Coturnix japonica: one gene and its partner. The protein of the gene in region 1 binds, or shares a complex with, the protein of each later gene. Links are inferred from orthologs where the notes say so. Each region holds a gene or a part of one and is shown in the gene's direction. Other genes may lie near its edges.

Evidence for each region. Proteins that work in one complex are often made in the same cells at the same time.
Region 2: ADGRG1 (region 1) and CD81 share a complex: the UniProt entries of both Homo sapiens proteins name them as parts of the GPCR-tetraspanin complex. The link is inferred for Coturnix japonica from reciprocal best matches to the Homo sapiens genes ADGRG1 and CD81.

Annotation. Positions count from the first base shown.
Region 1 is NC_029526.1:1,923,499-1,928,325, forward strand, and holds the start of ADGRG1 (adhesion G-protein coupled receptor G1), read left to right. Parts: upstream 1-1,599; 5' UTR 1,600-1,725; intron 1,726-4,827. UniProt on the Homo sapiens protein: Adhesion G-protein coupled receptor (aGPCR) for steroid hormone 17alpha-hydroxypregnenolone (17-OH), which is involved in cell adhesion and cell-cell interactions.
Region 2 is NC_029520.1:10,912,319-10,917,206, forward strand, and holds the start of CD81 (CD81 antigen), read left to right. Parts: upstream 1-1,660; 5' UTR 1,661-1,731; coding exon 1,732-1,797; intron 1,798-4,888. UniProt on the Homo sapiens protein: Structural component of specialized membrane microdomains known as tetraspanin-enriched microdomains (TERMs), which act as platforms for receptor clustering and signaling.

The DNA of each region.
Region 1 (4,827 bases):
AGAGGGTGCCCTGCCATCCCCATGCTGTGCTGGATGGCAGTGGGAACCGAAGCCCAGCCCATCTCACCTCCTCAAGGAGAGCCAGCTCTATTTATCTTTCCCACAGCCCTATCAGGTGTATTTTCTCAGCTACTCAAGCATTTGGCTCCCAGGTTGGGTGGGGATCACGGGGGGTGGGCAGCAGCTGGGATGAGGATGCAGGTTTGCAGCCCAGGGTGCATGCAGGGGTTCTGCAGGGCTTGGCGCTCCAACCTGCCCAGAGCTCAGCCTCATGCAGTGCCTCTGGGCATGGGTTGGAATCCACGGGCTCTCCATCCACAGGGGTTCCCAAGGCTCGAACTGCTCAGCTCAAGCAGTAAATCCTTATCAGGTTCAGGGAGTGCTGCTGGCCGGAGCCCAAGGGCAAATTTCCCCCGCAGGGACAACGTGAGGATTTCCTCCCCCAGTGCTCCACATCGGTCTTTGAAGGCAGCAGCGAGCCCTGCTGACTTCCACATCATCCGATAACATCAACAAGTGCAGACATCAGCCCTAAAATAACTCTACCGACCTCCTGATAACGCCCTGATGTGGACAGAAGCCTTTTTGTTCCCTGGACGGCAGCAAAGGCACGGCCCGAGGTGTCCTTTCCCTATAGGAGCTGTGATCCCGGGGCCGGGGGTCAGCACGGGGGGCTGCATCCTGCACCAGGAGACGGGAGCAGGGCGAGAGGAGTGGGGATGGGAGGGATGCGGGTACAAGGGGATGGCTGCCCGGAAAGGAGCCGCGCTGGCTGCGGTGTGGCCGCGTGATGCAGCGTGTGCCGGCCCGGGGGCAGCTGAACAAAGAGGCCACAGCTGATGGGTGATGTGAACGGAGCACGAGGTGCTGGGCTGGGACCCCCTAAGGCACAGCGAGCACCGATCTCATCCCATTCCCATCCCGTTCCCACCCCTGTTCCCGGTGTGGCCGCGGCACCTTGGGTTCGTTGATTGCCTTTTGTCCCCGTGCCGCCGCGTCCACCCTTCCCCCAGCAGCATGAAAGAGAAGAAAAGTCCCATTCAGCCCTCTGGGAATATCCGTGAGAGGCTGAGTATTTACGCTTCCTGGCCACCTCCCCGCCATCTCCTTGGAAGCCGGCTCTCCCTTTTCAGCGCACACAAAGGGCTGCTGGGCTGGAACCTGGCCACGCCGCCTTAGCTCCGCATGCACCGCGCTGCCGTCGGGGCTCCGTCCCGGACCCCACATCTCAGGGGGTGCCGGGCACGGGGAGCACCGCGCTCAGCACCCACTGCCCGCACCCTCATTTCCTGCCCGGAGCAGGACACGCTTCTTAGGACGCCGCGTCCCGGCCGCTCTCACATCGGCTGTTATTCTTTAATCCCTTTCCCAGCCGGGCGTGCAGCCTGGCAGCCGTACAACTCCTTTCCTCCCCCTGGCCGCCCTCCAGCCCCAGCTCCCGGGGGTACTTCCCCCGCCCCACCGCGCTCCCTCTGCCGATCCCCGGCCCGAGGGGGCGATACCGCCCGCCGTCCCCCCGCCCCCCAGCCCGGCTCCATCGCACGAGCAGGTGCCGCAGCACAGGGGTCTCGGCCGGATCCCACCCCGCTGAGTCACCGCCTGCCCTGGGGGTGGGGTGGGAGCGGAGGCGGGGCGGGGGTTGTGCCGAGCCGAGCGCCGAGCTCCGTCCAGCCGAGCAGCGCCGAGCGGCGTCGGGACGGCGCGCCCCGCCCGGCCCCGGCACAGGTAAATGGACACAGGTAGCGGCGGTGGGGGATGCGGAGGTGACGACGGGGCTGCGTGGGGAGCGGGGGGATGCTGCGGGCTGTGGGCCGGGATTCGGCCCCCGGCAGCGGGCGCGGTGCGGGCGTTCCGTGCCGACTGCTTTGTGGCTCAGCGCAAGGTGTAACGCCTCTGTCCGTGTAGAGAATGGGGCTCCTCGGGGTCTTTCTGCGCGCAGCCTCTGTCCTTACGGGCTCTTCTCTTTCCTCTCTAAATCGGGCTCCGTACCCCGCAGCCGGGCTGGATTCCAGGGCCGTGGAGCCGCCTCGCGGGGCAGCTGCTCGCGGCTGCTTCCTCGGCACAGCTGAGCCCTGCCAAGGCCGCACCACTCTGCCGTGCCGTGCCGTGCCATTCTATGCCGTGCCGTGCCGTGCCATTCTATGCCGTTCCGCGCCATGCCGTGCCATTCTATGCCACGCTCTGCTGTTCCGTTCTACACCATCCCGCTCCATTCTGTGCCGTTCCACACCATTCCATTCCATGCCATGGCAACCAACGTGTGTGGCTCGCCAACCCGGGGGCCCACGAGCACACCCCGCTCGGTGCCGTCTCGGAGCAGCCGGCGTGTCTCAGCACAGCGCTCTCGCAGCCCGATGCCCGCCGGGGGATTCCTCCTGCAGCCCTGCGCCTGCTGCTGCCGGTCCCGGCACGCTGCTCCCACTGCTCCATAAAGGGATGGGGCGCAGAGCAGCGGTGGGAAAGCAGGATGAAATCTCCTGGAATAACCCCCTGGCAGCACGGCTGCGGGCAGGGCTGCCGGCCAACGTGGATTTCACGGTCTGCTTGGCACAGAAGCCTGCTGCCACCAGCAGGGAGCCAGGGGGGCTTTGGGTTGCTCGGATTTGGGGCACACACCAGGCTCTGGGCAGCCCCATCAGCACGGTGCCGCCCCGCGGTGGGTCTGCCGCTCCCACGGGAATGAAGCCCCGACCCTGTAAACACCGCATAGTTGGTCGCCATCCAGCTCTTAATCCCGCAGCCCACTGCGGGTGCTATTCGTAGAGCAACAGGTTCACAAAACAACTGCACGCTGCCGGGACACGGCACCCCGGGGCTGAGCACTGCGCACCTTCATGGGGTCACCCATGGGTGTTGCAGGGACGTGCTGGTGCTGCTGTGTGCCAGCTGGCCGGTCCTGAGCCGCCAACTCCTTTCCCATCAGCTCGCTGACAGCTGGGCCTTGGCAGGGGCTCTGCTCTGCAGCCCAGGTACCTGGCTCTGCAGCAGGGTGCCGAGGGTTTTGGTGAGGCAGAGAGCAGAGCAGCTTCTTGCAGCCCTCATCACACATTGGTGTGTGCCTTGCATTGCATTCACCCCATTGTTTGTGGTTGAGAAGCTGAAAGTCCCACCCTTCACACCAGCACTAAATCGGTCGGTTTGGTTTCCGATGATGCTCGCTGCATTTTGGGGCTGTGGTGACCCGTGGCTCCATGCATTCCCATGCGATCTGCAGCCATCCTGGTGGCCGAGGGCACGTGCCTGACGCCCGCTGGTGACGGGAAGGGGCTGACGTGCCGATGCCGTGAGCAATGTGTGGGCTGCCCATGGGCTGCAGGCCAAGGACAAGGGCACACTGTGAAGGCAGGTCTGCTCTCCATGCATGGCTCCATTCCGCTCTGTGTCTCCATGCCTCAGTTTCCCCATCCACCCCCCAGACTGTGCCTCCTGCCCCATGGCTGACAGGCTGTGGGCAAAGAGCTGTACCTCCATTAGCATCTAAGGAGCCTGGATACAAAGCCACAACAATCCCCTCATCCACGTGTCTCCAGTGCTCATTGGAGACGTGAGCACATCTTCCCTCTGTGGGGAAAACATCATGCACAGAGCCTGCCTGCCATCACCGCCTCCATCGAATGCCTGGTGCCCAGTCACCCAGAGAGCAGGAAGGTTTCTCACCGGGCTCTTGTTTTTTCCAGCTTTAGAGGTCACAGTGTTATTCCTCGGCTTCCCTTTCCGATGAGCGCATTCATTTAATGGTACTGAAGGAACACGGTGTAACGTCCCCGCACCGGGGCTGAGCCATGGGGAAAAAATGCACCCTGTGCCAACAGGGGACTGCTCCAAACCCCCACCTCCAACGTGGGGCAGAACAGCAGCTTTCTATGTGTTCCTAGGGAGCTTTTGGGGTTGGGGTTGGGGAAACCGTCCTGTCCCATTGCTGTGGCTGTCAAAAAGGGATTACTGGGAATGGGGGCATGGCCACCCTCTGGTACCTGGACACCCTGATGCTCTGCTTCCCTGCTGCCCCCAGGTACATGGGGGTGGCAATGCTCTGTGTCCCCATTGCCCCCATGGATGCAGAGGAGAAGGGGCAGTGCCTTCTGTGGGTTGTGTCAGCTTTCCCCCCCGCTGTGTCGGGGGATTTTCTCTCGCCATTGTTCAGCTCAGGAAGCAGCAATCAGGAGGGTGAGCAGGGGAAACTTGGCTGCTCAGCTCCGCTGGGTCCCGGCTGGGCTTTTGGGTTCTGGTTGGGCTCAGAAATGACTCAAAGGGACGATCCCTCCCAATTGGTGCCTGTGCCATACCCACACCGGGACCTCAGTGTGTCCATTGTGCCCATGGCAGCACACTGAGCTACAGGACTTAAAGCCACAGAAGAGCCTTTCTTGATATCATTCTCACGCACCCAGGAAGCCATCAGCGTTCCAATCATGTTCAGCATCATGGCCGTGGTCAGAACCTCAGCTGTGCAGTGTAAATTTGTGGGCAGTGCTGCCTGTGAGAAGGCCTCTGTGCTCATGTTGCTGCAGCTCCGCTTTGCACGGCAGCAGCCATCCACATACCTGGCCAGCTTTATGTCTCAGTGCAGCCCTCACTGGTGCAGCCTTGGCTGCTGCTGGGGGCTGGGGGGGCTCTTACAGATTAGTCCCAGCAGTGTGGAAATGCATGCAGATGAAGCACGGTGGGGATGGGGGGGGTGGTGGCAGCAGGGGGTTGGAGTCTCGCTGCGGTGTGTGACACCATCAGCTCCTTGCTGTGAGCACCAGCAAATATAATTCTAGGCTGGGGGAGTTAGGAAACTGCTGTTTCCTTCTGTTCTTATCACCTGCTGAAAGAAGCCAAGGC
Region 2 (4,888 bases), on another chromosome or scaffold:
ACTGGGGAAAAGGCTGCATCTGATAGCACAGACCTGCTTGAGAAACAGTCTGTGTTACCTTGACACTGGAACTTGGTGTTTGTTTTGTTGGTTTGGGTTGTGTGGGGTTTTTTTTTCAGTACAGAGGTCAAAGTTTTCAAGCATGCTCGGCTGAGCTGCCTGGAAGCAAATAAATTGATAGAAGACTGAGATGTTTGGATAAAGTTTGAAATACTTCCCCACTGCCAAGCCACAGAGAGGTTCAGATGGGATCTGTGACCCTTGAGCTGGAGCCCTGGACAATGTATGGTTCAGGCATGGGGATGCCCTAGCAGTAGGAGCACATTAGCTCTGAGACAGATTGTTTAGCATTTGGAGTGTATGAAAAGTTTTGTTTCTTGTTTGCTACTTCCCATAGGTTAAGGCAGAAAGCAAAAGCCATGATACCACCTTCCAAATATCCCAAGCTCCCCATAGGTGGCTCCAGTGCCAGTTTGGTGGTAGTGATTGCAGTGGGGCTGCCAGCTTCCCAGCACACAGACACTGATTTGAGTGTCTTTCCTTCCTAAGCCCAGCTCTGGCTGTGCTGCTGCTGAAGCCTTATCAGTTTGCATGTGGTTCTTTCCCTTCCCTGCAGCAAACCCTGCTTGTTTTGGGCAGAAATCAAGGCATTGTGGGATCCTGTGTCATAGCAGGGGAAAAAAATTGGGATCCTGTCATTATCTTTTGGATCAACAGGCAGGATCCAGGCAGGATTACACCTACAGCCAACGATTCAGTCTATCAGCTGGTGCATGAATACCCCTGTGAGCCTCCAGCTTCACTGGTAAGGCCAAATGAGTAAATGGGGCTTAGAAACAAAGGGTTTATGCATCCATGGCAAGCCCACGATTAGGGGATGCACTCAGTAATTGGGGAACTGGTTTGGCTTCTGTTCTGCCTCAGTTCTCACTGGGTGCTCAGCAGGTGCAGAGGGCAAAGCAGGGTTCGACAGGCACCAGGGGTGCTGTCTGAGCACTTGAACTCATTTCTACTTTTTTTCTTTGTTTTTCTTTTAGACACATAAGGTCCTGCCTTCGATCAGGCTTTTGTGTTCTGAGTTCTGTTCTGACTTTTTGGTACCCCAGCCCTAAAAAAAAAAGCAACCATGCCTGCTGGTTGCACAGCAGGGTGTGAGCAGGCTGTGTTTCTAGGGATGCACAGATGAACCAAAGTGAGGTTAGCCTAGAAGGTGAGGAAACTTTCTGCTGGTTCTGTGGTGCTGCTTTTTGGCTTTTAAAATTCAACTTCCAAGCTGCAATGTGAGGGATACTAAAAATGTCAGCGCGTGTGACACAGATCTCTTTGATGGTGAGCCCTGAAATACCCCCAGATGGATGGGGAAAGGAGCAAAGCAAGCACGGTGAGTGCTTCTGCACAATTTGGAGGTGATCTTTTGGGTGGTGGGTTGTGTAAGGCTGAAAGGAAGCATTGGGAAGATGGGGGTGAGTTTTAATGTAAGAGCAAGTGGGAAAAGGGAAGGTGCGGGGGTGGGAAGGCTACAAGAGGGGGGAAAAAAAGAACAGGGGAAGGGAGAGGGAAGGGAAAAAGCAATCGAAAGGAAAAAGAGCGTTAGAGGGTGGGACCCGGAGGGCCCCCGCCGCTCGGGAGAGGCGGGCAGGGGGCGGCCCTTCCTAGCGCTCCCTCCCTCTCTCCCTCCCCGCCGCCGCCCAGCTTGGCCTCAGATCGGGAGCTGCTGCCGCCGAAGCCGCCATGGGGGTAGAGGGCTGCACCAAGTGTATCAAATACCTGCTCTTCGTCTTCAACTTCATCTTCTGGGTAAGCCCCAGCGCGATGAGGGCGGTTGGGCTGTGCGTCCTGCTAGAGCCGGGGTATTTTCTATTCCTTTTCCCCCACCGGCCAGCCCCCATGTTGAGCTTTGCACCCTGCTATCAGGGCTTTTTGGTCGGCGGGGTGCGGGGATCATTTATCCTTTGGTTTTTTTTTATGCGCGCTAACGCAGCTTTATTTATTTATGTATTTATTCATACGGCACATCTATATGCACTCACGTAGATGGATGTATTTTTTAATGTATGTGCATCCTCTGCGCGAGGGCGGGGGTTCGGCTCTCTGTTCTCTCCCCGCACGTCCTGTTGCCGTGCGGTTTTTCGATTGCTGAGGGCTGGATGGGGTGAGCCCCCCCGTGCGGAGGGGATGCGTAAAGCAGGGGAGGTTGGGGCTGGCGCTGCCCCTCGCAGCCCTGGCAGCGCTTGGAGCGGGCTGGGTTAGGGCTGGGCGCTGCCTTTGGGAACTTAGTGGAGCCGGCGGATATTCCCAAGGTGCTGAGGTTTGCTTTTCTGAGAAAGTTTCTCATGTAATAATTCATCTGCCTGGGCATGGTGGTGGCAGCGGGTCCTCCTGCGGGGGAGGAAGGTCACCGTTAGCGTTCCTGTCCGTTTTTCCCAATTCTGGGTCAGACGCCGACGCGTCAGGGAGCGGTGGAGGCGCTCCCGAATCCAGCCTGGTTTGAGACTCTGCTTTGCCTTTCTTCTCACATAGCGGTGACCGAGGAAGGCTGACAAACGGTGACGACAGCGGCATTAATTGATATCCGATGCTGTGCCAGCTGCAGGATGAGCTGGGACCGTCCTCCTCCCTCTCTAGGCAGCAGGACAGGGCTGTGTCTCCCTGGGCTGCTCCCCCACGAGCTTCGGTGCCTATCCGGGGGCTTTGCTTCCCTCCTGCTCCAGGCTTCCTGCCATTCTTGTTGCAGAAGTGTGGATGCAGAAAGGAAGGGTCCCATGGGGACAGGAAGGATGCAGAAGGGCCCTGTGCTGCTGCTGCTCCTGGGGAGGCTCCCTCACTCGTGCTATATACCTAACTCTTAGTAAACCATCCTTTTACTTAAAAGGGGAACTTCCAGATCCATTTTCCTTCCCTTTATGGCTTTTGGTTCCTGCTCTCCAGGGCTTGCCAGCCAGCAGTTTATTCCGGGGGCTTTTCATGAGGCTGGGTGGCCAAACAACAGGTCTGATGGCTTCCATAAGCTGGAGTCGAGGGTAATTGTAAGGTTTAGCGCCTTATCAGTGCGGTGAGCAACACGTCTCATGCCTCCAGCTATGGGTGGGGGATGCTTTGGTCGTTACCCCATCGTGAAGACCTGAGAAAGTTTTATGTTCAGAGGGAGGAAGCAGCGCTGAAGCGCTTGTCGCAGGGTGCCCGTGCTGCTGGCAGCGCAGCTGCCTGTGTGTCCCAGCCCCTGGGAGATATGGGATGAGGGGCTTGGGGCAGTGTCGATGCCAGCCATTTGGTATGCGAAGGCTGTGGAACTGCTCTGTTGCTTGTTGTGTGCTTGGCGCTGAGTCGAAAACAAGCGCGAGGCAGAACTGGGAGCTTGGCAGACACCAGGGCTTGGCCGCATGCTGAAAAACAGCTCACTCCGGGGGAGGAAAGGAAGTAATTCTAAGCCTTGCTGTGTTAACAAGTAAGAAAGAAGCTGATAACTTTTTGAAGTGGCCTCGTTGTCCTGCTGGGGTGTAAATAAACGGACACCCCCGTAGCAGCACAGGGACATAACAAAGCCGCCGTGTTGGGAAGCAAAAGTAAAATGTTGCTTCAGCACCAGTTGCCCTGGGCGCCTTGGCAGCAGCCCCGTCTGCCTGAGATTTCTCTCTTTTGGGGGCCGTTTTTCCCTCGTGCTTTAGGAAGAACCGGGCTGTTTTGCTGGCTGGGGCATGCAGCTGGGCCACGATGGCTGTCAGGGAGCACACATAAGATTGCACGCACGTTGCCGATGTGTGCTGAAGGGTGCTGGGAATGAGAGTCCTGAGGCTGCTCAAAGCTTTCTGAAACTCTGGAAGACCTGTGGCATGTCCAGTAGAGTTGTGCTGGGTTGTAGTGTGATGAAAGTGGGCAGACATCACTAGGGTGGTGGAAGAGGACAAAGGCAGCTCCAGGAGAGCTTCACCCCACTAACAGAACACAGGGATAATAAGGAAAAGCTTTTATGTGCCACGAGCTTGGCCTGAAACCTCAGTAGAAATACTTGAATCCCATTTCTGTTATTTCTTGCATGGCTGAATTAGGCAGTATACTTGTGATATTTGAGAGCCACAGGGAGCAGTGACTTTTGGGAGATGGCCAGCTGTCCACGAAAGGTGCTGGGTTATTGGATGGTTGCTGAGCGAGCTGCCAAGCTCATGCCCTGAGGCACTGCTGGTGGAAGGGTCTCAGCATGGTTCAGGTTGTGGCTGGTACATTGAGCTGGGGCCACTTTTATATAACCTGAGAGGCCAAATGAGGCCCAGTAGGTCTTTCAACATGTGATTAAACATAACTAGAAAGGAATCAGCCTGCTCTCACCCAGCCCATCAGCTAACATGCACCTCCAGGCCCAACACACTGCCGCCTGCTCTGGTGAGGGGTCTGGTTCAAAGAGCTCACTTTTGGCATGGTAGTGGCAAGTTGATGGTTGGACTAGATGATCTTAGTGGTCTTTTCCAACCTTAATGATTCTATGATTCAGTCCTCCCTTCCATGCTACACACAGCTATTTTCTCCTATGCTTGCTGAGTTGTCTGTGGCATGGGTGGGGATGAAATGGAGGAGCACAGGGGGGACATGAAAGTGTAAGACCATGCATTACAAGAACAGGTTCAAGTTGCTGGGTATTCTCTTAACAATTCTGGGAAATTCTGCTGGTCACCTGCCAGCCTGCAAAGCACACGTGCAGACATTTGGTGACGCTGAGGAAGGTGGCAAGCCCGTATTTCCTCAGCCCTCAGTAGTAGCCCCATGGGGACTGATGTACTCTAGGGCTCGTTCCCCCAATCACAACAACAGCAAGGCTTTAAATGCGGCTTAAAATAGGGAATGGAAACACAGTGAGAGAGATGGAGGTTGATGTGTTGCACAGCTCAAAAGCTCT